Drosophila melanogaster: one gene and its partners. The protein of the gene in region 1 interacts with the protein of each later gene in a pairwise test. Each region holds a gene or a part of one and is shown in the gene's direction. Other genes may lie near its edges.

What was found.
Region 2: the proteins of Nph (region 1) and CG7379 interact in a two-hybrid assay, tested with the Drosophila melanogaster proteins (one large-scale study listed by BioGRID).
Region 3: the proteins of Nph (region 1) and CG14671 interact in a two-hybrid assay, tested with the Drosophila melanogaster proteins (one large-scale study listed by BioGRID).
Region 4: the proteins of Nph (region 1) and CG13005 interact in a two-hybrid assay, tested with the Drosophila melanogaster proteins (one large-scale study listed by BioGRID).

Annotation. Positions count from the first base shown.
Region 1 is NT_033777.3:30,002,025-30,009,073, reverse strand, and holds Nph (nucleophosmin), read left to right. Parts: upstream 1-4,212; 5' UTR 4,213-4,470; coding exon 4,471-4,492; intron 4,493-4,624; coding exon 4,625-4,770; intron 4,771-4,916; coding exon 4,917-5,084; intron 5,085-5,169; coding exon 5,170-5,304; 3' UTR 5,305-5,393; downstream 5,394-7,049. Other genes in the region: CG7912 (uncharacterized protein), read left to right, coding at 45-60, 842-1,141, 1,202-1,542, 1,617-1,926, 1,987-2,289, 2,352-2,497, 2,555-2,737, 2,808-3,017; Nlp (nucleoplasmin), read right to left, coding at 3,653-3,786, 4,019-4,040; tace, read right to left, coding at 5,552-5,594, 5,660-5,822, 5,896-6,001, 6,064-6,627, 6,688-6,923.
Region 2 is NT_033777.3:17,793,859-17,801,598, reverse strand, and holds CG7379 (uncharacterized protein), read left to right. Parts: upstream 1-3,294; 5' UTR 3,295-3,489; coding exon 3,490-3,631; intron 3,632-3,712; coding exon 3,713-4,665; intron 4,666-4,726; coding exon 4,727-4,933; 3' UTR 4,934-5,223; downstream 5,224-7,740. Other genes in the region: CG17803 (uncharacterized protein), read left to right, coding at 438-473, 549-875, 1,076-1,914, 1,971-2,291, 2,359-2,599; pasi1 (pasiflora 1), read right to left, coding at 5,521-5,604, 5,686-5,736, 5,799-5,898, 5,960-6,234.
Region 3 is NT_033777.3:5,559,746-5,566,445, reverse strand, and holds CG14671 (uncharacterized protein), read left to right. Parts: upstream 1-1,630; 5' UTR 1,631-1,720; coding exon 1,721-2,040; intron 2,041-2,105; coding exon 2,106-2,253; 3' UTR 2,254-2,469; downstream 2,470-6,700. Other genes in the region: CG12746 (uncharacterized protein), read right to left, coding at 48-304; Pi4KIIalpha (phosphatidylinositol 4-kinase II alpha), read left to right, coding at 3,317-3,481, 3,552-4,179, 6,253-6,371, 6,644-6,700.
Region 4 is NC_004354.4:16,799,989-16,808,294, forward strand, and holds CG13005 (uncharacterized protein), read left to right. Parts: upstream 1-3,661; 5' UTR 3,662-3,771; coding exon 3,772-4,004; intron 4,005-4,082; coding exon 4,083-5,292; 3' UTR 5,293-5,766; downstream 5,767-8,306. Other genes in the region: CG9132 (uncharacterized protein), read right to left, coding at 538-620; CG4789 (uncharacterized protein), read left to right, coding at 972-1,017, 1,081-1,599, 1,666-1,925; Rai1 (Rat1 interacting protein 1), read right to left, coding at 2,049-2,481, 2,569-3,263; ppk28 (pickpocket 28), read left to right, coding at 6,319-6,512, 6,646-7,312, 7,375-7,969, 8,033-8,306.

The DNA of each region.
Region 1 (7,049 bases):
ACTAGTATTGGCCGATCGTAAAGTGCTCCAAAGATCTTGTCGACATGCGCGATAACGAAGGTAAGTGGAGAAGCGCGTTCCCTCAAGAGGATAAGTGAAAGCAGTGTGATACGAAGGAAACTACTCCTTCCCCTTCTATTAAAACCAACCAACTGAATATCAGAAAACACAAACTATTACTCAATGGGGCTATAATTAGTGAAGGAACAAACACTGTTTGATTGTGCTGTGATAAATAAAGAACTAGTTTACCTAAAACTTGATGAGATAAACTACAATTAAAGGAAACTAAACAAAGGTCTTCGGAGACATTACATTATTTATGGTAAATACCCGGTAATGAGTCCGTAATTAGACAAGAGAATCCACAAGATGACAGTGCTATTACGAGCTGCGAAAGATGAGTTATCAGTGACAAGCTGGCTTCCTGGGGATGAACGTGTCCATCAAGCAAGAAGGGATCAAAACGTAAATTTCCCCCGTTGAATAATATAAATGCATAAGATACAAACTAGCCAAGGATACTATATGCGGCTCACTAATTATCTAGAATATGAGACACCAAAACAGAGGGTTCAAAGTGCTAACATCAAGGCATTGTGCTGCCTGCTGGATGAACTTGTCTATCAGCTTGTAGACATCTTTGGTATTTTTCCAGAAGTCACAAGACCACCGAACCGCAGGAAATCATCGAGGCACTTCAGATCATGTGCAGAGATTGCGAATGGGTGTACATAAAAGAGCGTTTTTCAATCAAATAAACCACTTAACTATGGCCATATCAAGATTTCAAGGCGCCCCAGGAGGCACACCTACTAAATAGCCCACTTGTGCTTTCCAGATGATCTCTACCGGGAGCGTCTGCCGAACGTTTGCGGTGCCGTGAGCTCAAAGGCGAGGAGCTGCTGCAGCATGCGCTCCGTCCACAGATACCTGCCCGTCACCGATTGGCTGCCCAAGTACCAGTTGAACTTCCTGGCCATGGATGTGGTGGCGGGTCTCACCGTGGGCCTCACAGCCGTGCCACAGGCCATAGCCTACGGAGCTGTGGCCAATCTGCCACCAGCCTATGGGCTCTACTCCGCTTTTATGGGTGGATTTGTGTACATACTGCTTGGAACTTGTAAGGATATCACAGTGGGTGAGTTGGGGAGCCTCTGGTGAGGTGGTGCGCTAAGTAATTCAAATCGTTCTTCCACAGGCCCTACGGCCATCATGGCGCTTATGGTGCAGCCATATGTGGACGGCAACCCAGCGTATGCGGTGCTAATATGCTTTCTGTCCGGCTGCATCATCACCCTAATGGGTTTACTCAATCTCGGAGTGCTCATGCGGTTCATATCGGTGCCGGTGACCACGGGTTTTACGATGGCAGCCGCCCTAACCATTGCCACCGGCCAGGTTAATAGCCTCTTTGGCATTAGCAGTAGTGCCAGTGGGTTCCTTAACAGCTGGATATACTTCTTCGGTCACATAACACAAACACGCCGAAATGATGCCATCCTCGGCTGCTGCACACTTGTGCTCCTGCTGCTCATGAGGGTGGGTAATGCTTAATTAAATTGCTTAATTAGAAGGTTTGATTAGCGAGACTATAAATGTTTAAATAATTTCAGCAACTGAAAAACCTAACTTTCGGCTTCAAAAGCGTGTGGAAGTATATTTCACTGGCCCGCAATGCTGTGGCCGTGTTAATTGGCATACTCCTGTGCTATCTTCTGAAGAACGATGGCAAACTGCCCTTTCTAGTCAGCGGCAGCATCACTCCAGGCCTGCCGCCTTTCAAGCTTCCCCCTTTTCACACGGAGGATCCAGAGACTGGAGAAACCATTAGCTTCGGTGGCATGGTATCGAACGTAGGCACTGCCCTGGTGTCCATACCACTGTTGTCCATATTGGAGAGCATAGCTGTGGCCAAGGCCTTCTGTGAGTGCGGAGGAATAACTTCAGTTCATATTCCATAACTTGAGCTTCTTCTACTTTCAGCCAAGGGCAAGATAGTGGACGCATCGCAGGAGATGATTGCCCTGGGCGTCAGCAACATCCTCAGCAGCTTCTTCTCCTCCATGCCTATCACTGGATCCTTTACAAGGACAGCCATCAACAACGCCAGTGGAGTAAAAACCCCGCTGGGTGGTGCGGTTACCGGCGCTCTCGTCCTCATGACCCTGGCCTTCCTCACCACCACATTTGCCTACATTCCGAAGGCGACCCTGGCAGCCATCATCATTGCAGCCATGTTCTTTATGGTGGAGTACGAGACCATTGGCGAGATTTGGCGGGCTAAAAGTGAGTGCTACATGGCATTTGGGATCCCACGTGAAGTTAAAGTAAGTCTGGTTATCTTACAGAGCGCGATATGCTGCCTTTCCTGGTTACCGTGCTGACCTGTGTCTTCTGGACCCTGGAGTACGGAATGGTGGTGGGCATCGTCTTCAATGCGCTTTTCCTGCTCTACAAGAGCATGAAGCCGCAGTTTTTCTTGACAACCGAGAAGGTGAGCTGACACACTGCATATATAGGGCCTAATAATTTCTATTGGCAATCAACCTAGTTTAACGGCATTGAGGTGACCATGGCCGATCTCAAGGGCAGCGTGGACTACGCGGCAGCCGAGTACTTGAAAATGTCGCTTGTGTCGCACGTGACGCAAAGAAACAGCGAGGGAAGTGCCCCCACCACACTGGTGGTCATTAAGGGACACGAGATTGCCTCAATTGATACGACAGTGGCTTTGGTGAGTGCCAGCTTTCTTTGCTGCAAACTATGACCTTTGACCCGAAACCTCTTCTCTATTCCTCGCGAAGAACCTCAAGTCACTGCGCGAAGATCTCGCCCTGCTGAAGTGCGACATGATCTGCTGGAATTGGAGTATTCCGGCGGCGGGAGTGATTTGCCGGATGGACAGGAAGCTGCGCAGTATGTTCAAGTTCTCGAAAAGCTTTCCAGACCTAATGCAAACAATTGCGGATGCCGAGGCAGCCGATTCGTGTATCGCCGTTGACTTGAGTCAATAAAGAGTGCTCTTTTGTCTTGCCGTATGTGTATCTGCGTACAGTTGCGCCAATGAATTTGGTTCGGAAAGGTGGGGTACTTAAACTATGAGGATCTTGATGGTTAAGGTATAATGATGGTTAGGTACAACTAATGAGAAATTTTAAAGCACAAATTAAAAATATTTATTATAATAAAAATTATATTCTTTAAAGAAGATGTGCTTTGATAGTTATTCTCGAAAGTTCCTAACAATATACAAAACACCTAAGTCCCTGGATTTACTGGGACAGTTGTAAAGTACCTAGTACTTCTTTGCAAGTACCTTGTACTAAAAAGAATTTATGTACCTAGCACATCCCATTGGTAATGTACCATGGCAATCGAAAGTCCGGGGCTGGTTACTCGGCGGCCGTTTGCAGATGTACAGACACAATTACCCTAGCCCACCACAACGAGCGAAAAGTTCGAGGTTGTTCTGGTCTGGGGGAAAAATGGAAACCGGTCCCTGCCCCGCCGGCCGGAAAAATGCAACGAAAAAAAAAATGAAAAAGAAAAAAAGAAGAGGACACCAACCGGCGCGCGCATACACAATTTATGGGATTTACTACATGCACTGAATGCCCCGTTTCGCATACACAATGAATGGAGTACTCACCTCGACCACGTTGAACTCGTTCTCCTTGGCCTCGGCGCCCAAGAGGATCTGTTTGATGACCAGCTTCTGGCCGCGTGCGTAGTCCTCGTCCACATCCCACGTGACGCTGTCGCTCTCGGCGGTCAAAGTGACTCCTGCGGAGGGGATATAGTCGCCATTATACTTTCTGATTCGTATCTTATTCGCGCACTCAAATCCGAGGGTTTGAGGCTAGACACACACAAATTGGCCAGCGGCAAATCTTAGAGCAAAAACACCGGCAAGCTTCGCAGACACTCCGCCTTTTCGGTGGTAAATACGCCTTCTACGCGTCCACTTTTGCCCCCTTTCGCTGCCTATAGAGTGCAACTGCTAAATTGTAATTACCGTAGAATGATTCCTCAGCCATGGTAGGTAATATTTAATATTAATTCCACACAAAACCAGCGGCGAACACGTGTTGAGCAAAATCTTTTGCAAAATGGTAGCTGTCGCAGGGTTGCCAGGCCGACGTAAGGTGCCGAAATCGATGATTGTCAGACTGGGAATCAAAATCGCAGGGCTGCCACTTGTAGTGTCCAATCGAATGTGACAATCTATATTCGTTTGTTGCAAGCTAACGCGACAGTAAAATATATTAAAAAATATTTCAAGTCTTCATTACCAGTACTTGCGAAGTTCCCAACAAATTAAACGAATAATATCGATAGTCCTGCGCTTCGATAACAGCACCGCTCAACGCTTCACACAACTGCAGCCATCGCCGTTTTACGGGCACGTGTAGAGTACAAAAGGTTCTTTTATTAATTGACTGTACATCTGTGTTCCAAGGCCTGCAAATGGAGTCCGAGTCGTTTTATGGTGAGTACCATTGCCATTTGGGCTGGAAGAGCGCTCCAATAGCCATCCCATAGCCACGCTGCGAGCAGCTCCCCTCCAGCCGGCAAAAAGCAGTCGGAAATCCAACCCTTCTCGCCGTTCGTCCACTTCCAGGTGTCACACTCAGCGAGAAGGAGGCCATCGCACAGTTCGAGGTCCCAGATGTACCCGAGGAGTACATCGTCCACTCGCACAAGCTCATCATCAAACAGATTTCCCTCGGCCCAGAAGCGAAGACCGGCGAATTCAACGTTGTACAGGTGAGCCTCGATACCGGCAATCTGCCCCGCGTCGCAGGTCGTAAATTTAAAGGCGACATGGCTGATTTAACTCATATCATATTTCGCGAAAAACTCGGAAATTATACAGTGATAAAATGCACACAAATTTAATGTTTCGCTTCCAGGCGGAGACGAACATAAACGACGATGGCGAGAAGAAAACCTTGAAGATCCCCATTGCCGTGTTGAAGGTCGGCGAGACCCGTAGCTTAAGACCAAATGTCGAGTTCCCCAATGGATCAGTGACCTTCAAACTGGTGCAGGGAAGTGGACCCGTACACGTATGCGGCAAGGTGAGCTCCATCCATCCATCCATCCATCTATCTATCTTTCTATCTACTTTGGGTTCCTGTTCCTAACAAATTGCCGTACCCTCAGGTCGAGATGAACTTTGGCGAGTTTGACGACGGTCAGATTTACGAGGAGTATTCGGACGAGGAGGAGGATAGCGAACTGGAATTCGACGAAGAAGCAGCTCCTCAGACGAACGGCAAGAGTAATAAGAAGAAGTAGAAACACATTACACTCCAGTAAGCTAACTAAATGATCCGAAAAAAATAAAAACTTCAATACGACTTTAATAATGTAAAGAAACCATCCAATTATAATGACCTTTTGTTTTTGGTCTATATTATATGGAATTTTATTCATTCTGTGTTGCGTATGTTCAAATATGTCACTTAATGTAAACGAATTGTGGCAGTTTTAAGAAGAATGCTCACGGAAGATTAAAACAAAAGGAACCCACTGGGTTTTTGTGCTAATTACAGGCTCGGGCCACCGAAATCTTCTGGCGTGGCACTCTGAAAGTATAGATTGGTGGTTGGTTATCAGTATATAATTATAAAGTAGGAGGCTGAGCGCCTACCGTATGTGAATCACTCGACGCCTCTCGTCACTGGGATGTATAAGGTCCAGTTTCTGGCTCCACTCAATCAGCTTCATTTCATGGCGCAGCTTCTTGCGGTCGAAGTAAGATATGACGCAACTGATGGGAATCCAAAAGACTGCAGTGACGAGGACAACGGCCACTGAAAATATGATTGAGCAAGTGTGGCTTAGTGGGGATCTTCAGAATGTAATATTTAAGATTGCAATACTTACTGACAATGTTGTCCTTGAGAAACCTCAAGGTCTTGGCCACATTTATCTCCTCGATGATGTCCCAGAAGCGCTCCACCACATCCTGTATGGTCTTTTCGCATACGCCCTGAAAGAAATCGCAGCTTAGCATAATTATGGGCAATGTAAGGAGTCAATCCACAAGCATACCTTGTTGCAGAATCCTGTGATGCAGGGTGTGCCATCGGGTAGGACATCAGGTGGCTCTACGGGGAAGCAAGTCTCATTGATGCTCATGCGACAGCACCGCTTGCAGGCATCCGCGATGATATCACACATGCAGCTTTGGAGACCCTGGGTCTCGCAGTACGGCACGCATTTGCCATTCCGGCACTGACCCCGCTCCTGGCAGGTGGTTCCGTCCGCCATGGCCGGCGATTTGGGGCACTCGGCGTGGGCGCCGGTACAGCGAGCCTCCTGCTCGCAGGTGGCGTACTGCGCCTCGCGGCACTTCATTCCGGAGGCCATGAACTGACAGTTCTGGCAGCACGGTGAATTCTTGTCGCTGCACATGGCTCCTTGGTTCCGGCGCAGCTTGCAGTTCTTGTCGCAGCATGAGTCGTTGTCCTCGGTGCCCAAAAGACCAGCATCACACTGCTCGTCGCCCTCGACTCGCAGGTTGCCGCAGAAGGACTCTTCGGGCTCTGAAAAGCATCTGCCCGATTTGGCTTGCAGCACCTTACGGATCGAACGCAGGGAGCAGGGGGAGAATTTCTGTTAAGGAATGGAAAGGCGTTAAAAAATTCTATTGGTGGAGGTACAGGAGAACCATACCTTATTGTTCACATCGTAGCCACTGACGGAGTACGTGTACATGAGGAAACTGCCTCCTTGCGAGGCGCTAGGTGAGCACTCCGGAATGTCGGGGTCGTGTTCCGAGCCCCAGTTGTGTCCAAACTCATGGGCCGTGACCAGGTCAGCCTCCCTGGTGATGACCCGCTGACCATAGTGGTTGCGGGAGCTGCTCAGACCCGAGTTCAAGTACAGAGTGTAACCATTTTTGAAGTATTCTTGGAGACGAAACGAAAATAAATTAGTTTGGGATACACAACTTAAGGGTATGCAAGAAACCCTCTTGGGACTTCTATAGCACCCCTAAAAAACAAGCTGAAAACTAAAGAAAAAGGAAACCAAGG
Region 2 (7,740 bases), about 12 Mb from region 1:
AAATTGTGGTTTTGCTAACATCAATAATTTTCAATAAAGAATATAATTAAAATAATGAATTGGGCTATTCTCAACAAGTGCTTAAAGTAAACAAAAAGCTTAAAGCCATATGCACCGTACTAAAATCGCTACGCCCGTGAAAAGTGCTCTTGGCTACGCACATGGACACAGCCTGGAGTTCAACCCCTAGTTCAAGGTTATGCAGCCCTGCAAACTGTGCTTGCTGTTTTGCAGAAATTCGCAGTTTGCCGGCAAAGGATGAAGTGCGCAGTTCGCATCTGCGGCAACAGATTCCTCTGCGAGTTCGCCAGTCCAAGCACATCTCGGTGAAAGAAGAAAGCATATTCCGGACTTTCCCAACAGTCCGCGAAACTTTTCATCGACTCAACATTGCCGAAAACGGGAGAGCTCAAATTATTTGCGAATAACTTTCACAGATGAGGTCGTCTAGGACAGCCAGCGATTCAAAATGGGTGTGTCACTCAAACTCTTATTAATATTCTAATCTGGTATATTATGTATACCTTCGTTTTTTTTTTGCATTCAAGGTGCGCCAGTCAAACGACAACAAAGACACAATGCGCTCCTCGCGGCAGGTTAACAAAAAGCTTGTGAAGCTATTCCTGGCGGAGGCAGACGACAGTGACGCCACCTGCACCACATCCACTGCCCTGGACACGACCACAGCAGACAGTGCGTTTTTTGATAGTGATTTCGAAGAGGAGAGCACTGGGCTCCAGGAATGCGATCCCCCGCCGGCAAGCAAGTGCCGCACCTGCTTTCGCATCATATCGCGGCATGAGGATGCTCAGGATCTATATGACAGGGTCAACATAGCGCTTCTGCACCACATAAAGGTCATCACTGGGGTGTGGGTACGTCTGCGTCTGCATTTAAACTTACGTTTTCTTTTTTGTTGTTAAATTGTTTCATCTTCGTTTTATAAGTTAACTTTGTTGACAAGGAACATAATATGTGAGTTCTTAAACTGTTCTACCACAAATTTAACAGAAAAATAAACCCACTATATAATATTATAATAAAGCTGCATTAAAGAACTAACATTTTATTGCAGATACAACAAGGAGTCAAAGAGCTACCGCATCACATTTGCTCAACGTGCCAGGAAACTGTGAATAAATCCATGGAATTCCGTGCCAAATGCCAGCAGGTCGACAAAAAGCTTAGGCAGACGACGGAAAAGTACAACATTCAAATCTGTGACGAGGAAATGGAGTCGGAGCTGGAAAATGTGCTCTACGAAGAGTCCGCCCAGCAGGCAAAGGGAGTCGTAGGACTAGAAGATTTCAGCTCAGAGTTGTTGCCGGATAGTGAGGGTGTCCTGGATGAAGACGACTTTCCACTGGATGCAGAGCCAACTCAGTTTTCACTAAGTGAAGATGAGTTGGATCTAGACAGAGACACAGAAAAAGACTTTGCTTTGGAGCAAAACAAGTCATGTAATGAAATAATTAGCATACGAAAGTGTAAGACTAAGGAAGAGATTGGTAAGGTAGATCACGGAGCCAAGGTCTATAAGGTTGTGCTCGGTGAGTACAATAGCCTAAAGGAAACTGCACCAAAGTATTCGCTTTCACTACCAAAGAAACCTCAACTAAGGGTGAGTCCAGAGGAGAAAAACCGAAGGCGCCGCGAAAGGATACAAGCGAAGCCATTGAACTATGTCTGCGACAAGTGCGGCCACACCTTTCGCCAACGCAGTCAGCTGCAGATGCACTTGCTCCGTCACAATAGGGCCAAGAATTTCGAGTGCCCCGAATGCCCGAAGAAATTCTACGATCTCTATACGCGCAACATTCACGTAAGAGCGCTGCACAAGGGCGAGCATCCCTTTCCCTGCAACCATTGCAATGAGTCCTTCGCAAACGCAAGCAGTCGTCACAGGCACGAGAGGTGAGTGCACCTACTATTTGATGGTTCCATCATCTAATCACTTCGATTGACTCCAGGGATGTTCACGGAGCAGGCAATCGGATTCGAACGCGGGTGAAATCAAAGGAAGAGGGATCCAGTCGCCATTACTGCACCCAGTGCACCAAAAGTTATACCAGCAAGAAAGGTCTAGTCCTGCACATGAACTTCCACAACGGAAGCAGACCCTTCCAGTGCAAGATTTGCCAGATGAAATTCGCTGACCCATCTGCCATGAAACGACATCAAGCTTTGCACGACAAGTTTCCCATTCGCTGTGACATCTGCCTAAAGGGATTCCTGCTGCGCTCCCAACTAACAAAGCATCAGGATGTACACACAGGAATGCATCCTCATCGGTGGGTGCAAAAGAGAATCCCGACTACTGTCCGTTTACTTATTTCTTTACTTGATTTATATTGCCAGGTGCGAGATCTGCGATGTTCACTACCGCCATAGATATAATCTAAACAAACACAAAAACACCGATTTGCATCGGGATAATATGCAGAAAGCTATAAAAGAAGAAGTTAATGGACTGCAACAAGCATTTAAAGATATTGATAAGGAAATGGACTTTGAATCTCAAACACCAATGCAGCCAAATGCACAGGAAGTGCGAGCCAGAACTCAGGATGAAAAGACTCAAACTATTGAATATATATAATTTTTATAAAAATTTATATACTTTCATGGCGAAGTACGTAATACTTCTAAGGTGACGTTTAGTAAGTGCCGACATAGAAGATAATGCACGAACAATATTTTAAAAATATATAATTCGTATAATAGTATTATGCATTTAATAACGTTAAGCTTAATGAAGAATAGACTTGACAACCTAAATACAAATCTGAATAGTTCAGACGTATGTTTCATGAAAGGAACAATAAATATTTATATTATTAATATTAAATAATAATCAATTAAAAAATAATATAAGTGCATTTGTTTTTCCTAATTAAAAAATCAGCTGATACTGTTATTTGAAATTCTCCAGTTTCCCGGGCAAATGAGTAAGGGGTTGGTTTTGAACGTTTCCTACACTGGCCGTTGAATGAATGATACATGATTTTAAAATTACGATAATTGTAATAAAATGAATACAAAAAAAGGACTGAAAGTAATAATTAAATTTGTATTTAAAGGGAAAATATTTTTAATACTTTCTATTGCCTAGGGAAATGATGAGAAGATATTTGACCACAAACTATTAAAACCAATATTACTTATTTATTAAAAAATTCAACCGAAACAGCAGTGCCGTTAACCACCCCGATTTCAGTGTAGCAAAACACCAGCCGACTAGTGTTGCAAAGCACAACCACCCATTGTATACATACATATAAATAATACCTACGCACACATACACGCACACACGAGTACAGTCGCAAGTTGCGACTCGCAACGCCATACAAAAAGTTGGAACTGAGTGGAATCGGAGTACTATATAGCCAGCCGATCCCTTCCAGAGCGCCGGAAGAGTAGCTCACATCCGAACCCACGTCCCCGAGCCGATGTCGCGGCGGGAATAGAGCGATTCGCAGTCCAAACACGATGATAAACCCCATTGCATCCGAGTCGGAGGCCATCAATTCGGCCACCTATGTGGACAACTATATCGATTCGGTGGAAAATCTGCCGGACGACGTGCAGCGCCAGTTGTCACGCATCCGCGACATAGACGTCCAGTACAGAGGTGAGTTCTGGCCGAGATTACGCCTGTTGGAAAAGCGGAAAACCTAACCTCCTCTCTTGGTCCAAACCCGTCGATTTGCAGGCCTCATTCGCGACGTAGACCACTACTACGACCTGTATCTGTCCCTGCAGAACTCCGCGGATGCCGGGCGACGGTCTCGAAGCATCTCCAGGATGCACCAGAGTCTCATTCAGGCGCAGGAACTGGGCGACGAAAAAATGCAGATCGTCAATCATATGCAGGAGATAATCGACGGCAAGCTGCGCCAGCTGGACACCGACCAGCAGAACCTGGACCTGAAGGAGGACCGCGATCGGTATGCGCTCCTGGACGATGGCACGCCTTCGAAGCTGCAACGCCTGCAGAGCCCGATGAGGGAGCAGGGCAACCAAGCGGGCACTGGCAACGGTGGCCTAAATGGAAACGGCCTGCTTTCGGCCAAAGATCTGTACGCCTTGGGCGGCTATGCAGGTGGTGTTGTGCCTGGTTCTAATGCCATGACCTCCGGCAACGGTGGCGGCTCAACGCCCAACTCGGAGCGCTCGAGCCATGTCAGTAATGGTGGCAACAGCGGCTCCAATGGCAATGCCAGCGGCGGAGGAGGCGGAGAACTGCAGCGCACAGGTAGCAAGCGGTCGAGGAGGCGAAACGAGAGTGTTGTTAACAACGGAAGCTCTCTGGAGATGGGCGGCAACGAGTCCAACTCGGCAAATGAAGCCAGTGGCAGTGGTGGTGGCAGTGGCGAGCGCAAATCCTCGTTGGGCGGTGCCAGTGGAGCGGGACAGGGACGAAAGGCCAGTCTGCAGTCGGCTTCTGGCAGTTTGGCTAGCGGCTCTGCAGCCACGAGCAGTGGAGCAGCCGGAGGTGGTGGTGCCAGCGGAGCCGGCGTAGTTGGTGGCAATAATTCCGGCAAGAAGAAAAAGCGCAAGGTACGCGGTTCTGGGGCTTCAAATGCCAATGCCAGTACGCGAGAGGAGACGCCGCCGCCGGAGACCATTGATCCGGACGAGCCGACCTACTGTGTCTGCAATCAGGTGAGTTCGCAGTGCTTTTCCTATCGAAAAGCTTCGCCACTAATCACGTTTTCTATTGCAGATCTCCTTTGGCGAGATGATCCTGTGCGACAATGACCTGTGCCCCATCGAGTGGTTCCATTTTTCGTGCGTCTCCCTGGTACTAAAACCAAAAGGCAAGTGGTTCTGCCCCAACTGCCGCGGAGAACGGCCAAATGTAATGAAACCCAAGGCGCAGTTCCTCAAAGAACTGGAGCGCTACAACAAGGAAAAGGAGGAGAAGACCTAGTCTATTAGGCCAGCCTATCCAACCCATTGCTCTGTGTCTAACACCAGGCTCTGTAAAATATTCGATCCTAAGATTTACCTTAATGTATATTTAGTGACTTTCTTAGACCCGATCCCTTTTCGACTTTCCCCTCTTTCACCCAGTTTAGATCCCTCGCTTCTATGGTTATAGGTCGTCAGTTTTCATTTAAAGTTTCTGTACAAACAATATCTTTCTCAATGTAAACACACAAAAACTCGTATAATTAGAGTACACCTAAACTTAATTTATGGTAATAAACGTTGATATTCAAAACCCACAATAATTTCTTGGCCCCAAGGAGCCCGTATCCAGTAGCAGTAGTTTTACGAATCTATTTGTTTAATTGTCGTTTAGAAGACTAAGGCATTCGAATTACACATAAGTATAATTGATCGTGTATAAATGTGTGTAAAATATATAAATTTATATAAAACTATTTGGTAGGCATCTGTGGAATTGTATGGAATTCTTATTGTAAAAAATGCGCATGGACGGAGTTCTTGTTGCGTGTCAAGTCAAAAAGTATTCTAATAGATTATTCGAGCTTCTGTATGGAGGTTCTTCCATCATGGCATGAGCAGCTCAATGTTCGGATTCTGGATCTCCAGGAATATCTGGTACTGCGAGAAGACCACCAGCCAGCAATAGATCTAAGTGGATGAGTAAAATGGGTTTATAAACATAATGATACAGGAGTTGGTGTTGCTGTCCCTTGAATTTCAAACACTTACATTGTAGGCTACCCAAACGAAGTTCAAAAGGGCCGAGAAGGTTTGCTCCAGCTGGCGGTAGAGTAACACGAATTCATTAGCTTTAGTTAATGGAAAAGATAATCGCTACTCACATAAATATAGTAGCCTCCAATAAGCCAAAGGCTCCAGCTAAACTGGAAGAGAATGGCTAGTCCAATTAGACCCAGCCAGGGTAGCAGCCATCCTCGAGTGCTGAGAAACAGATGCAAGCATGACTATATCCGTACATATAGGAAGCCAGAGCTCGTCTTACCTGATCTTAATACCGTAGTAGACCAAATAGGAAGACAGGATGATTAGCAGGAAGTAGATGATAAAGAAGCCACCTGCCACGGGCATCGACGAACGTATATCCGTCTCAAAGAGCGGGGAATAGAGCTGCGCAGACTCCCCGCCTGCTAGCATATACGAAATCAGCGTGATCATTACGGCGGATAGCGCAGCCGTATAGCCGGCCACGGCATAGCTTCCCGTCCGGACATTATCCGACCAAATTATGGGCGACCAGCAGGAGCTCAGCACTACCATGTTGCTGTGGGAAAACACCGGGAGACACCAATGAACAAACTTCTCCGATCTCAAATTTCTTTGGCTTGCGTGACAGCGTCAACGCCCAAATATTTTGGTCAATGAAAACGCAGTCGAAATGTATGATTTTCTTCTGCTTTTCAATTGATAGCTACTTCTAAAGGTTAACCTTGGATATATCCTTTTAAAATGTCCAGATTGTTTTGGTTTCTAGGGCGTGGGCGTACCTTTTTTTAAATAATAATCGCTTAATTAGAAAAACAACAACGGCTTGAGCAATAGGGTTGCCATGCGTGCGTAAAAAAGGGAATTATCGATATTTATTTAGTTAAATATATCGCGAAAAGTTATGATATGTTTAATAAATTGAAGACATTTTCAGTAAATAGAATGTTTGCAAATTTAAAGTATGAGAATATTTTAATAAATATTATGATTATAAAATTAAAAAGTGTATGATACTAAATAATCGATGACTATCGAATATAAACTGAAACGCGAGTATGAGCACTGTACAGTATATTAAAATATTTATTATGTTTCCTATAATTCTATTAACTAACAAATGTACAGCAATGTATTTTAAGATATATTTATCAAATGTTTAATTTATTATATAATTGGTATATAATATATTAATTGATATATATAACTAGGTATATAATTTTTAAATTGTGAATTAGCTTAAAATTTGTTTTACACTCTTCAAGCTTGTAAAAACAATAATAATATCTGACCATCGATCGGTCCCACTGTGCAGCACTGAGCAGCTGAGCTGACCGAATCTGAATTCGAATATTCACCATGTGTCGACTGGCGACTGCAGCAACAACAACCACACGGCAGAGTACAGGGCCGGTTGTTGGAGTGATCTTCATTTGGCAATTACATTTGGCCGTGTTCGGAGGTCTCCGCGGATAAAAGCGCCAAAACAGAAGCCGAAAAAGGCCCAAGTCGCTCGCGCTACGTGAATCAGTTATCAGTGGGATTAACCGCGCGATTCGCACGGAATTCAAACGCACATAGTGGCGCAGTGGCAACTTCCCAGTGATCGTCGCATAACGGTAGAAAGGTGAAAACCCGAATCGAATCGAATCGAGTTGAATCGAAGGGCATAACACAGTACCCACACTGCGTGGGCAAGGTCAGCTCCACCAGATCCCAAACCCATTCCCATACCAAGTAGGTACATCAGAAGGCGCCTACATTTTCGATGATTAGCCATTAACCCAGTTGTGTGAAAGTTCTTTGGACTTATGTATGAATAAGTATGAATACGAGTGCGAATGCGAATGCATGGAGGTGCACTCGTCGCGGTCTCATGTTCCAATTGGAACGATCTTTCGTGCCGAATTGTGGCTCATTCCGCACATACGTACGCTGTATGAATGTTTGGGCCAATTTCTCGCCCCAAAGAGATGTGGGCTTAAAGTGCACCACCGAAAAAAAAAATCCACAAAAAAAAGTAATTTGGATCCCAGCAAAAAATGAAGCATGGCAAAAGAA
Region 3 (6,700 bases), about 24 Mb from region 1:
GAGTTATGGACTTTGTCGGCATTTGGAATGAAGCACAAAACACTCACAAGAAGGTAATGACGAGGAGAACGCGAAGAACAACATCTACGGCATCGCTGAGCTTCGCATTAGAGTTTCCTGTTCTGTGGCTTCGTTCCTCTCGCTTTTCTGGCTGAACGGAGCTGCTGTCCGTGTTCATAGCAAGTTCATTGCGCCACATTTCGTCGTCGTTGGTCCTGGTCCTCGATCCTGTATTCCTGACGTCCTCTGCGGAACTGTCGCTGAGGGTTCGCCTGGATTCTTGACCTTCCTTGCTCGCAGTCATTTCGTTAGTCCGTTGGGTATATTCGGTTGTCAGCTTAGGCCTGGTGCTTGTCGCCTAAATAATTGAAGAGATAACCAAACGACGAGTCATTAATGATTGCACTTATGTATGCGGACGGGTAAACTACTTCAGGTGTGGGATAGATTGAAAAGAAGGCCTATCTAACTTTTTTACTTCATGTGCATATGTGCTTATCAGTCGCAGATTGGGAAGTCTATTGATGAAAAAGCTAATGCTTTTAGAGAGTATACCGGAATAGGCAGGCAACCCCCCCTTACTGAAGCGGTGGCATGGGCAAGCCTACGATTTTCGCGATTAGATACAAATAGTGAAAAAAATAAGGCCCCATACGAGACGTATAAATTGAGATAAAAATGTTTCCAATCATCCTAGCGATTGTGCCAGCATTTGCTCACACTAAAACTAGAATGTTGATAAATATTTTTATAGGGTTCGTAGAAGGAATCATAGCATTCGCTTTTCTTTCAGTGCACACTTGGCCACGCTTTTCGTCAATGTTTGTCATCAAACGCGGTTACGTATGGCCAGATAGGTATGGATGTGTGTGGTGCACATATATATATGGTATAGTGAGCGGCTATATCGTATAGGATGCCGATGCCATATGCACACGCGATGGATTTAACAAGCCAGGCGTCAAAAACACTATTGGCTAGCTGACGAGCACCTGCTCCTTGCCTGTGCCGCCAATATTGCCGTTGCGGTCGATTGGATTTTCGCGGCGGCGACTTCGTAGGTCCGCCGTACAACTATCGGGCATTATCACCCGATCCGATGCAATCTCCTGGGATTTGGGTATATTTGAGTTGACTTTGGAACTGTTTGCACTTGGGGCATCCACTCGTTGTTAGTCTGGTGGCGTTAATCCCGACGTGGTTTCAACTTGACTGCTTCCCGATTGCTAATGCTGCTGAATGCTAATGGCAGGGCTTTTTATAAACTTTCTCTAATCTCGCAACAGCATCGTAAAACAAACTGCGAAGCCAGCCCCTTTCACCTCACCCCTCTCCAAAAACTAATGCGCAAGAAAACAACAACAGCTGTTTGCCCTTTTCGTTAGTCGGATTCCCCGAGAGTGTGCAGCTTGACCGTTTACTTGTTAATTGGGCATGACCGTGTTTGTTGCGGCAGTAATTACAATTCATTGCGTAAAACTCGTATGCACGCGACAAAACCAAACTTTTTTCAGCCGTTTCTTTTCGTTTTGATTCAAATCAGTCGGTTGTTAGTTTGCAAATCAGAATAGGGCTGGCGATAACATTTGTTATCGACGGTAGTGCCAACTCGGCGCATAGCAGCGATAAGTCAGGGTTGTTGGTGCGATCATATGATTGAAAAATCTCCGTCAGACCGAAATAATAATAATATATAAATAAAGTTATTCCTCAGCCCGCAATGAGCATTCAAAGAAGCGAAAAGGAGGCCGCGGGCCAGCTACTGGATGACTTGTACCTGGACATGTTCCACCTCGTTGAGGAGCACACCCAGTGTCGGATAAATTTGGAGCGATGTAACGCCAGTGGGGCGATTCTCCTGGCCCGCACTAGATTTCAGCACGGAGGCAGCCAGTGCGTGTCCACGGCCCAGATTCCCACGGAGAACAGTGCCGAGTTTAACGCCCTCTGCCGGGTCGTGGACTCCACGGATGGCGTCTGCATCGAGCGACAGGCGGTTGACAAGTCCAAGGGCTTCGTGGAGCCCCTGCATTGGTTCTCGTGAGCACTGATAAAGCCTGTGTGTATGTGGGTCAATGTGATAACTCACTTACTCCTTTTTCCAGGGTACTGCCACCGATGAGCTTGCGCAATGCTGTTAACAAGTTCAAGGACTGCATAGAGCTGGTCGCCGAGAGCACTAATCTGCAGCGGCAGCTAGGAGAAGCGCTGGATTCGATCACAAAGCTGCGAAGGAGTGCCCTGCTTAGCTAGATACTTATGGCGCGCACACAATCCATACAATGTTAAGAATAAAGTAGATTTGAAAACATTATTGAAACAGCACTCACTGACTCTCGATGAAGAAGATATGCGAGAAATTATTGTTGATCTATCTGAAACGTCAATTTCATAATTATCTGACGTATGATCCCACCTCGTTTAAAAAAACCTATAAATGACGCCCAGAAATGCCTTTTCTTTAGTATCAAATAACAAACATTATTAAAATGGACTACATATTTATATCGAGCTTAGAATTTTTCTTATTTTAGTAAGCCAATTAGTTTTTCACAGAATAAGAAGTCCATAAATTGGCTCCCCTTGTCTTTAGTTCTACTTTCACACGTTTTTCTAACCTTTAAGAGTTAGAAACAAAGATTTTTGCACTGTTATTTAGCTAATTTATACAATATAGACTTCCACAAACCTTATCTTGATATTTTAGTACGCCTAAATTTTAAATATTTCCGCTCAGCGCTCTCATGTGCGAGGCTGCCACTCGGCGAGTGCAGAACCAGCAAGTGGGCAGTACCGCGAATTCTACTCGTCAGCTGTTTGATTTGTCAACCATTTTTCGCTTCGTGTTCTTAGCGAAAATTAAATCGAACGCGTAATTCACTTGTTACATTTGCGGAGTGCATGGTGAGTCCCTATCTCGATGGTGTTTGAGATCCTCCGCGTCCCAAGATCCGTTTCTGAAATAAAACTGGGACAGAAGCTGGGGTTCTAAACCAAAAATCGATAATAAATTGCCAAACGAAATAGAAGCACAAAATTGAAGCAATTAGCAAGTAATGTAATCAACTTGCAGCCCGAATAATATAAGCATATTGTGCAGGAACATGCGAGCGGAGGAAAAGCGGAGGAGCAGATAACAGAACCAAGCGACGCCCAAAAAGTCGCGGATAGAAGCGCAAGAAGAAGCTGCAGCACAGCGCGGGCCTTTGTTGTTCCGTCAGCTGCGGATTGAGGGCAACGGCACCTCCCACTCATCCAGCCCTCTTGACCCACGCCCAATCACCCACGTGCCTGCCACCCCCTGCTCAGTGCGAACATGAGCGGCGCTCGGGATCAGACGGATCCCCCGCTGCTCCAGCTCGAGGACGAGGTGGATCTCATCGGGGACTTTGCCAAGGACCAACCTCCGCCCAGAAACCAACTGTCTCCGCTTTTAAATGGCTTCGAGTCGACAAGCAACCAGTTGACCACCAAAGTTGAGGTGAGTGCACTCCGTTCTCAACCTCACCTTCTGCAATACATATGGCAATATGAACTGACTTTTTCCTTAGATCAACACCGTCGGCATGGGCAAACGCAAGACAAGGAGAAGAGGGAAAAAGGCGCGGGAACCCATGCTACTGTCGGTGGACGACGAGGATGACGAGGAAGAGGCGCAAGAGGAGAGGAACCACACCAACGGGCTGCCGCCAGGCGAGGAGAGTGCCGGCGGCGATGCTGTTATTCAGAAACCGCAACTGGATAACTTGGTCATGCATTACGACGACCAGATCGACGACGAAGATGGCGAAGAAGCTGTGCTGCTGAAGAGAAGCTCAAACCCGCGCAACCAAAGACTCAAAGGTAGCGCTGAGGATAGCATCGACAGCAGCAGCCAACAGCCACCGATTATTTGTCACATCGCACCCGCGAAGGTAGCCTCATCTGCATTGACATCTCCGCTGAAAACCACTTCGCACACTGCTCTCGCCCGTCATCCGCATGACGAGGCCGACGACATCTGCCTGGTGCCAGAAATCGACTTCGAGGGCATGTCCACGGACGCCGGCAGCGACAACCGGGAGTCACAGCCGCTCTTGGGGGGAGGCAATGCCAGTCACGGAAGTCGCATCAGCGAGCTTTTGGGCGGACTAGGACGCGGGCACGATCATGTGGAGTTTGTATCGAACACATTTGGCGGTGAGTGCGCAGCGGTCTAATGAAGTCGTACAAGTTGCATTTCCTACCACACCCAGACCACATTGCTGCCTTGTTTGCTTTGTGGCTTTACTCATGATGTGCTTATCACTTCTACGGCTACATATGGTGGTTCTATCTCCACAAGCAGCGCAAGCTTAGAACAGATTATTTAGGGCCTCGATGTTATTCATTCAACTTCATCTAATTTCTTTTATACGGGGAGGATCTGTAACTGGAAACTAGCTATTTCGCCTCTGTTACATACTTGAATATAAACTAAACGTGAATATAAACTAGACAAAATGTCCGACCAAATGAACCAAAAAGACTCTTAAATAGAATGATAAGGGTTAGATTCCTAGCTGCTATACGTTTTAAATTTAAATTAAAGTCAACAAAAGCACCCTGGTCAACCCAAGCATTTCCGTCCTCCAAAAGAATTATTTACATTTAGATTTATTTAAAAACTAATACAAACTGCTTTTGTATTCCCTTGCTAAGATAAATAATACATATATGAATCAATGCAATCATAAGAATAACCACATTTCTATTGGTTAGTCCATGAAGTGCTTACTCAAATATTAGTCAATTTGTACGTTGTGCAGGGAATTGAGCTAACTTTTATAGATATATGTAGAGTGTGTTGTGGGAGCGATATACACTGCCAAATGAGTACTCATCTAGATCTTTGACCTTTGTGACTCAGGTGATTCGCACTGCTCTGCTGCCTTTGAACATACGCTGATGAGTAATACCCTCCGATTTGTTTTCGTTGCATTTCGAAATAACTTCCGAAAGCGATTTATAGTTTGTCTGTTCTTTTTGCAATCGTTTTACTCAGTACTGAATATCACTAGATGGCCATATTTCGCTTGCCCTTTGTATGTTAATCCTATAGTCATCGCCCCACATTTCAAAGCATTTTTTACAATTTTATGGTTTTTACAAGAATTAGTTTTTTTTCGAAATTGAGCACAAAATTGTGTGTTATAAATCTTGGTGTACTTGGATGTCACCGTGGACGTCTGTAGCTCGGAATCGAAGTCAGTCGGGAAGCATATAAAGAATTTCGAGGAAGGCACTTCAAAAATGGAACTTGTTCCTTTGGCAACTGTCGCCAATTGGACATAGCCCCATGCCGAAAAACAACATTAAGTCGTTTCTCAGCCAGGTGCCGTTGCCGAACGCTATAGCAGCCAAGTACCAAGAGCCAAGCGAACCAAGAGACGATGAGCAGCCCACGACAAGCAAGGATGCGCTGGAGAGCAGCTCCTCGGTGCCCTCCGCCTCCGCCGCCTACGCCTGCATCTGTTGCGAGCACAAGTGCCCGCTGGAGAAGGATTTCTTGGAGTCGCAGTCGGACAAGGAGGGCGATCCGCCCTTTCTGGTGAACTCACCGTCGATGGCGCGTGACTCCAAAGACACAGTAACCGTTCAAATCGCGGCTCCGCGCTGCAATTGTGCCAACTGCCCGCTGAGGAACCTCTGTAAGTGGTGGCAAGGGGTTGGCCCTTATCGAAACGCTTTGGCTATGCTAATTGTGACCTGGTTCTCCTTTATCAACTGCCAGCCGACTCGAAACCTCTCGACTGCCGGCGCACTTAATATACCAGTGCCTCCATGTCGCGCTTGTCGAGCAGCAGTCGCGAAAACTTCATACCGCAAGTGTTTACCATTTGCCAGGACTTGCAGGGCGATTTCAACGACAACTTTGATTTCATAGGTAGCGTGGAGAGGATTAGCGTAGTCAACAGTCCTATGCCATTCCTTGATATAAAGTAAAGTGTAGGATGGGGTCTTGAATTTCATCGCAGTCTTATAAGCGTTTTCGTGCATGTTTGCTGTAATTATTTTTATCCAACAGATGGCACGTTATTTCGTTGGTGTGTTTATAAATTATTAAAACCATAATTATATAGCAAATTTGTTCAATTTTAATAAATGACGAACAGTCCGTTTTTTACCCGTCGCTTGAGGCATGCGAATCTTCGTTCTACGCACAAACTTTTTTAGTAATTTAAAGCCCTAGTGCTAATGCCTATTTTTAATTTTAATCTTTGATTCTTATAGATGACCCGCTTTTCTCGGAGATCGTGGCGAAGGCGGAGGGGGCCATCGAGAATGGTGTGCTGCCCGAGCGCATTTACCAGGGTAGCAGTGGTTCCTACTTTGTCAAGGATGCCTCCCATGTGAGTAGGGAATCGGGGTGACGATCTTCTAGCCGTTCTTGCGCATAAGGTGGGAGTTGGGTCGTCCAGTTCTGGGCCTAACTTCGTCGATCTTTTACTTTTCCGCGCATAGATAAATAAGATCGGGTAATCGGGGAAGTACTGCAAATATAAGGCTTTTGCAAAACTTTTGGTTTTTTCCTGAAACAGTTTCAAAATAGTGAATTGTATATTGTTTACCCGCTTATGCTCTATGTATTTATTATGCCATTTCTTATGATGCTCCCCCTTAGCAATGCCTGGCCGTATTTAAGCCAAAGGACGAGGAACCCTATGGCAGACTGAATCCG
Region 4 (8,306 bases), on another chromosome or scaffold:
TCGTTCGTAGTAGCTTTTTAATTATGGTATACCCCCAATATTTGAGTTATTCCGATAATTTGTGTTATTTGCCCACCTGAGCGCAGTTAACTGTGAAATGAACAGCAACAAAAGGAAAACAAAGAGAGTGGCTGCAAATAGCAACAATTACACGCACGCCAGCGAAGCTTTTTCGCTGCCCCCCGTTTCTTTCTGTGTGTTTATCTGTTTTTTTTTTTTTGTTTTTGTTCTTGGCTCCCTGATACGTGTAAGTGAAAATGTTCAACAATAATTCCAGGAAAAAAAATCAATTGGATTTGAACTTCACAGCCTCAGCAGCAGAAGTCGCGCTGCCTTTAACCTTGACTTTTTCTTAGAAAAACATAATTAATGCATTCCCACACCCCCAGTGGATATATGCACATATATATTTAGTTATATGTGCAGTGAGTGGGCGTTGAAATGCACGAAGAACTTTCAATTTTGATGGCAGAAAATCCAAAAGCAAGGGGCGAAAAAAAGTAGTCACCTGGTTTGCCAGCCGATTTGTCGACTTACCTATAACCACGATTGCTCGCACGGGGTGGTATTTTGTAGATAAACACCTCCGGCTTCACGATCAGCACACTTTCGTATTCCATCTTATTCGAAGTTCAGATAAATTTGATTTTGTTTATTATCTGAATCTTTCCAAGTGTTTTTTTAAGCTTTAGCCAGTGTGACCGGCGGGCGATAGTCTGCATATGCCAAGCGACCCTCGAAAATATACCAACACAAAAGTGTTGAACATCATTTTTAAATTCAGATTTAAAAACTATTAAATTGATTAAATGATTAAACATTTTAAGTTCAAATCTAATGTTTTTTTGGAAAATAACATTATCGTAGTTTAACTATCACTGAAATTTGTGTCATTATTAACATTTCTTAGTAGTTAGTAGTAGTCATTGAATGCTAGTGTGGCTGCAACCAATAAAATGAGTTCCAATCAAATGGCGATGAATAATCGAGTGCGAATTGTTGTGGTTGGCGATTCGGGTAAATAATGGACGTCAAACGCTTTCCGTGGCACTAATCCTCTCGAGAATTCCCCTTACCCAGGTGTGGGGAAGACCTCCCTGACGCACCTGATCACCCACAACGAAGCCCTCATCCGGCCCGGCTGGACGGTGGGCTGCAACATCCAGGTGAAGATGCATCCGTTCAGGGAGGGCACCGCTCGCGAGTGTCCCTACTTCGTGGAGCTGTTCGATGTTGGGGGATCGCTGAACCACAAGAACACGCGCAGCGTCTTCTATGCGGGCATCGATGGAATCATTCTGGTGCACGACCTTACCAACGCCAAGTCGCAGAGGCAGCTAATCGACTGGCTGTACGAGATCGTCAACAAGGAGGGCAAGGATACGAACAAATCGAACGGAGCCTCCATGCCGCCATCGCCGCCCAGCCCGCTGAGCAGCTTCTCAACGGACAACCTCGGAACGGACGGCCACATTCTCTTCGACATGGAGGAGTTTCTGGGCGCCACGCAAACGCCTATCCTGGTCATGGGCACCAAGCTGGATCTCTTGGACGAGAAGCGCCATCCCAAAATGGGGGTGAAGAAGCCGGGCGGAATAGGTGCCTCCTAATATGACATTTAACAAATGCTTCCTCCTAACGTTTATCTATTTCAATATCCCTCAGCCGACAAGTGTGGAGCCGAGGAGATTTGGCTAAATTGCCGCAACAGTCGCAGCCTGGCCGCTGGTACCACTGATGCCGTGAAACTGTCCCGCTTCTTTGACCGCGTTATCGAAAATCGCAAAGCGCTGCGCGCAGCCCTAGCATTCGGAGTGAGCAGCTCCAACGCCGTCAGTCCGCCCGACAGGCGACGTTTTGGCCCGACCAGTGCCAAAATGGAAGACAGCGTCTTGCCCCTCCTGGATACCCAAGACCTCAAGTGACTAATGCACTCAATTCAGTAGTTCTAAGTTGTAGTTATCGTACGGGAAGCATTACAAAAAGAAACGATTAATTCCCATTATAAAATCAGACTTGCTGTTGTTTAGAAAATGTTATGCATTGCCTTAGGAGCGCGTTTTGAGCAAATCTCGATACCAGTTGGGCAGGATTTGATGTTCCGGACCGCGCAGCACTTCGTAGCTGGCGTGCTTATTTAAAAAAGTCACCTGGACCACCGCAAACGGATCGTTAATGTTCACCAGCAGCTTCTTAAGATTGCGCAGAAACTGTTCCAGGTACCAAGCCATTGCCGATGCACTCCACGGTTTGTTGCGGGCCAGTGTTGCCACATCGATCTCATCGATCCTCTGCAGCATGCCCTTGGTGTCGCGGAGTCCCACGTAGAGCGTAGTGATGCCCACCAGGAATGACTGACTCCACCAGTTGGCAGACTTGAACGATTTGAAGGTGCGAATTTGGTGAGGGTTCATATTGAAGACGCTGGTCTTTAGCTCTACGAATTTCAATGAGTCGAGCACTCTGCAATCTTTGAAGTCACTAATGGGATTCGTGTAAGTGTATACACAAATAATGAATGGATGGAACATTAATCATTCATAAGTATTTAAACCCTGGACCACTCACACTGGCTCCTTGCTGTCCACACAGTCCAGTTCGGCGCCGTATAGCATCAAAATCCCGGCCAGGTTCGTGCGGTACACGCCCATGAACTCCTCTGCCTCGTTGACCGGCACATTGGTCACCGGTTTTCCCTGCGCCTGGGCACTGGTCAGGTACTGCTCGAACTTGAAGCCCCAGGAGCACATGACCCGCTGTGCCCTGCTCATGTTCGCGTTCTCCAGCTGCTGCTCTGGGGTTTCCTCCTTGCACATGTAGACGTTGCCGTTCAGGAGCGTCGCCTTGACGCGGAATGAGCGATTATCATACTGCAGGCACATTATCTGCCGCAAAATACCGCGCAGTGTTACAAAGTCGCTGTCCAGGCGTAGATTTCTCGCATCGGAGCTACTCTGACGGAGCAGCTCCTTCTGGTGTTGCTTAATGTAGGTCAGCATAATTTCCAGATCCCGTTTGCCGTTCTCGACGGGCTTACGGATCACATCCTCTATACCCCCGTTAAGATCGAACGGCAGCGGTGGCCACGGTTGGCCAGCCAAGTAGCTGGCGCAGCTGGCGTCGTCCACAAATTCCCGGCTAGCGTTTATGCTGCACACACCGATGCACTTCGGGCGGCTTATCGAGGGAAACGGCGTATTGTACATCGCGCCCAGCTTGTGCTGCCCCCAGGGCACACTGATGAAGCCCGCGTTCTCGGCCATTTCCTTCGCCTCCGCGGATTTTCCAAGTTCAAACTATAATTATCCGGAAAATAACGCTAATATTTATTAGAGGTGGAGAAAAATCGCAAACATCGATGTTTTTCGAGGAATCATCGATTATTTTCTTTCTCCACTGCGCAACTAAATGGGCTAAGACCTTGGGAAATGGTTGTGGTGAGAATCAAGTGTAGGCGATTAGTATCGAAAGCTAAATTGTATTAAAAATGGGATGATGATGTGCTTATTAATTTTAATGTAATAAGTGAACGCTAATGATGATAGTACCTCGATGAAGAGAAAAAATTTTGACTCTTAGATTTGCTTTATGTTCTGTTTGAGCACGTCTATTCACCACGAGGTATTTGCAAGCTTAAATCAAACAATTTGTGTGACCACAGTCATGGGAATCTAAGAATATACTAAATACCAAAATAACACGAAATCCGATTCGGTTTTGTTCATAGATTTGTTTTTATGTTTATTTGTAACCACCAAACGTGGCTGGCCAATGAAGCATCTCCTGGAGGATCCCTCGGTCCTGGCCGAGCTGCAGGTGCTGCCGGATAAGACCGGTGGTGTACAGGATCGACAGGAGGCCGCCAAGAATCCTGCAGAGAATTCCGTGCCCGACGAAGATTTGCCGGCTGCAGGAGGCGATTTGCTACGCGTTAAGGATACTCTGGGCCAGCTGGCCTGCAGTCTGCACAAGCTGTCCAAAAACGATCACATAGTCATCGATCGGTGGGTAGTAATCCCTATTTTTTGGAGCTTTCATTCACCTTCTCTGATCACGTTCCGTGATCTTTTATTCCTGTGCAGAAAGCGCCATCAGGTGATTCGCACAGATGCGGCTACGCAACAATTAACGATTTACCGCTGTCCGGATCCCGCCGTCATGGGGATTCGCCCGGCGATAGAGAAAAATGCCCAGAATCCGCCTGCCAAAGTGGGTAGACCATCGAAAAGAGCCTGTTCGGTTGCCACCGCTCCTGTGGCGAAGAAACCAACACTAGCGGAGCAAAAACCTGCTCCCGACACCCATCGCACTAGATCCGGTCGCCAGGTGCGCAGCTTGATGCCACAGCCCGCTCCCGTGACCAGTGGCTCAGCGGTTGAGCCAAGTTCTGCCCGCATGCTTGAGATGCTGGTGGCCGACTTGCGGGACAAGGACTACCGGGCACCCATGGCAGCGCCGAAAAGCACGAGTGTCAGCAGCAGCGTCAGTATAAGCCAGGAACCGACCACAACGACAACCATCCAACGAGCCGTGCCCAAAAATGCCGTTTGTCCCGGCTGTGGAAAGATCTTTTTGGGACGCCGTCTGCAGCGTCACTTTGTCAAATTCCCAGAGCACATGCCGCGTCCGGGCGAGCAGACACCACCTGTAGCTGTAGCTACAGTACCATCAACGGTTCATCCTCCCTCCACGCCGTCGCTGTTCGGCCTTCTGACCGCCCAACTGCAGCGGCATTCCCATCTCAGCGAGGAACAGCGCTCTGATCTCTTTCTTAACGAACTTAACGACTTTGTGGAGCAGCTGCAATTGCGCAGCCAACGGCTTATACGGAATACCTCTGGACTGCATTTTGTAAATGCACGAATTGCACGAGTTTTGGGCATACCCGAGGGTCAGTATGCGTTGGATATGTCCGCCATGGAGTCGCCGCTGGCACCGATGCCGGAATCAGAGGGAGCGGCCTTGGTTGCCGGCAGCGGTAGTGAAGGAGCCCGCAATCTGGTGGTCTACGCAGAGTTGAGCATGTCGCTGGACGATCCGCTCACAGACGAGGCTGCACAGCGTCTCAATCTATCGGCGGGCGGTCAACTTCATCCGCCTTCCGAGGAGAGTCTGCTTAGAAACGTCAGCGATCTTATGCAGCCGCCAGTGGCAACTGCTCCTCCGACTGTGAACCATGGCTACGATCATGCCAGCGATAATGCCGTGGAGGCCCTGACCATGAAGGAAACGCCCAACACAGAGGCTATTCTCGATCTCAACGTGGACTTCTTCCAGTTCAATCCGAATTAGAAGGGACAAATGTATAGAAAGCGCTTAGCTAGCAATGGAGATGAAGAATTCTATGATAGAGTGAAAGGTATTTCAACTACTTTTTAACTTGAACACTGAAAAGGTTCTAAAATATGAAAGTTTAAAACATTTATTTTATTTATCGTGCATATTGCATGAAGAAAGTCTCTGAAAATTGAAACGAACTTTTCTAAGTAGATTAAAATGTATTAATGGAGTATGTAAATATAGAAATAGGGATCTCTTAGATACATTTTGGTATTGTATTTTGAATTTTTACTGAATATTAATATTGAAATTGTATAATTTGAAAAGTAACCTCATATAACCTCCAGCCAAAAATCTATGCAATTAGTACGCAAATGTAAATGGTTGAGTGGCAAAAATGCCGCATGCGGATGGAGATTATTTATGAAGTACTTAACTGGCTAACGAAAGATGCCTATTAAATGAATTTATCTTCCTTGATTTTTGAAATTGTTGCGTTATTATTTGCTGGAACATTTGGAAGTGAATAAAAATCCTGGCCAATTTAGTTTAATGTATATATGCTTGTGGTTTCTAGCAGCTTTTCATACTTTTCATTTGTGTTTACTGCAAGTCAATTAAATTGATCGCAATTTTAATGGCGTTCAGCTAAATGGTAAATTTCTGTGAAAAATTATTATTGCTTTTAGTACAAAGCTGCTGCTTAAATAAATCCCTTTCAATACCTGTGTGTATTACAATATCTAGAATATCTTTATTGAAAAGCGTGCGTGTATCTATGTTTACTTTCAGGTGTAAAGTTTATTTGCCACGATGTAATCATATTTTCTGGCCATCCACTTGATTTTCAAAATACGTGGAGGATGGCAAGGGGGTGGCTAAAATCAATTTGGCAGTTATCACTGCAAATGGACGACCGTGTTTGCCTTGGTTCAATATGATTAAAGCTGATGACCGCCATGGAATTGCACCTAAAAGTGCAGTCAGAAAGTGACCTATAAATAGCGGAGATTCAAAGAAGTGCGGACGTAGTGCATTATGAGGACGTTGACGGAAAGCAGGCGGCGCCAAAGTGGCTCCTCCGGGTGCAAAAAGGACTCCGAGTCGGATGACGATGAGAATACCATCTGTAGCAGGGCGGCCATTAAGAGGAGTGTGGTCTACTATCTCAAGAACAGCACCCTCCATGGATTAAAGTACATCGCCGAAGAGAGCATCACCATTCCGGAACGGTACGTAAGCAAGGTAGCCGAATCGATCAGCCTATCGCAGAGATCGCGGACACTAAAAGAGGCATTACTTTATATATAGACAAGTACGAGCAATGCCACGAACTTACAATTCATATTTTATATCGCCTTTCAGCATCTTTTTTGGTCTTGCCTTTGTGCTGGTGGTGATCCTTTCCGTGTTCTTCATATCCAACGTGTACGTAAAGTGGAGTGCTTCGCCCATAATCATTTCGACCAGTGCCAAGCAAAAGCTGACCAGCAACATGCCATTTCCGGCGATCACGATCTGTAATCTCAACCAGGCGCTGCTAAGCAAAGTGGATCGCATTGGACGGACCAGCACGAATTTCTCGCTGCTGATGGGTCTGTGTGACCAGGGCGGGGACACGACCATCTCGTACATCGGCACCTGGAAGTACTTCAAGGCGATCCTGGTGGACGTGGCCCAGCCGTGCGAGAAAATGCTCCTGTACTGCAGCTTCGGATCGCGCGAGGAGGACTGCTCCTGGCTCTTCACCTCCATACTGACGGACGATGGGCTGTGCTGCAACTTCAATGCCCTGCATCCGTCGTATCTTATACGGAACTACAGTGACGATGTGCGGCTGGAGACGGCTCATCCGAATACCCGTTATGAGCTCATCGATTGGACACCAGAGAAGGGTTATGCCCGCAATTTGCCGGAGTTCTACTTTCCGCGCACCTCGGGGGGCACGGGCATCCGCATGGGTCTCACCGTCGTGCTGAACGCCTCCATAGCGGAGTATTACTGCACCAAGTCGATGAGTGTTGGTTTCAAGGTGGGATGCATGGTATTTAGTCAACTATATACTTCTACTGATTGTATAAATCCGCTTTGAAGGTTCTTGTGCACAATCCCGCCGAGCTGCCAAAAGTGAGCAACTATGGCTTCGTTGTGACCGCGGGACGCGAGGCACGGATACCCATCGAACCAGTCTATGAGGATGCCCTGCCCACGATACGGTCAATTAAGAAATCGGTGCGTCGCTGCCTCTTCTCCGATGAGAATGACCTGGCCTACTATCGGACATATTCGCGTAAGAACTGCGAGCTGGAATGCGAGGCGAAGTTGCTGCTACGCGAGTGCAGCTGTGTGCTGTACTATCTGCCCCGGATCGATCCGTTGGCCAGGGTGTGCGGACCCAACGATAATCAGTGCACGGATCGGGTGCAAACCGAGATTGAGTCATCGCTGACGAATCTGTCCTGCGAGAACTGCTGGCCGGGTTGCTTCGAGCTAACATACAGGGCCACACTTTCAACGGCTTCGATCGTTTCGGATCCACGATTTCAGGCCGGCGAGAATCTACCCGAATATATCTTCCACGGGCCATATAGCAATGCCAGCGAGATTTCGATATTGCACTTCTACTACATGACCAACATATTTCGCAGCACCACCAAGTCCGAGATGTTTGGCTTTACCGAATTCTTGTGTAAGAGTTCAAAACTAAGAAATGTAACTAATCTTAATTATATCTTATCTTTTAAATTTCCAGCTAATACGGGCGGCCTTTTGGGACTTTTCATGGGCTTCAGCATTTTTTCGGTGATCGAGATCTTCTTCTACATCACCGTCCGTCCGTACTGCGCCTCGCGAACACTCCGGCAGCGCCACAAACGCCGCCTGGAGCAGCTGAGCTGGCTGACGCCGATCAGGATGCCCGTGCGCAGAGCACTGCGTCGCAATCGAGGTGGTCTCCTCCGGAATCCGCCGCCGCCGGCGTACAGTGATCTGCAAAAGTTCCGCGGGAAACTGGACAAGCCGGAGAC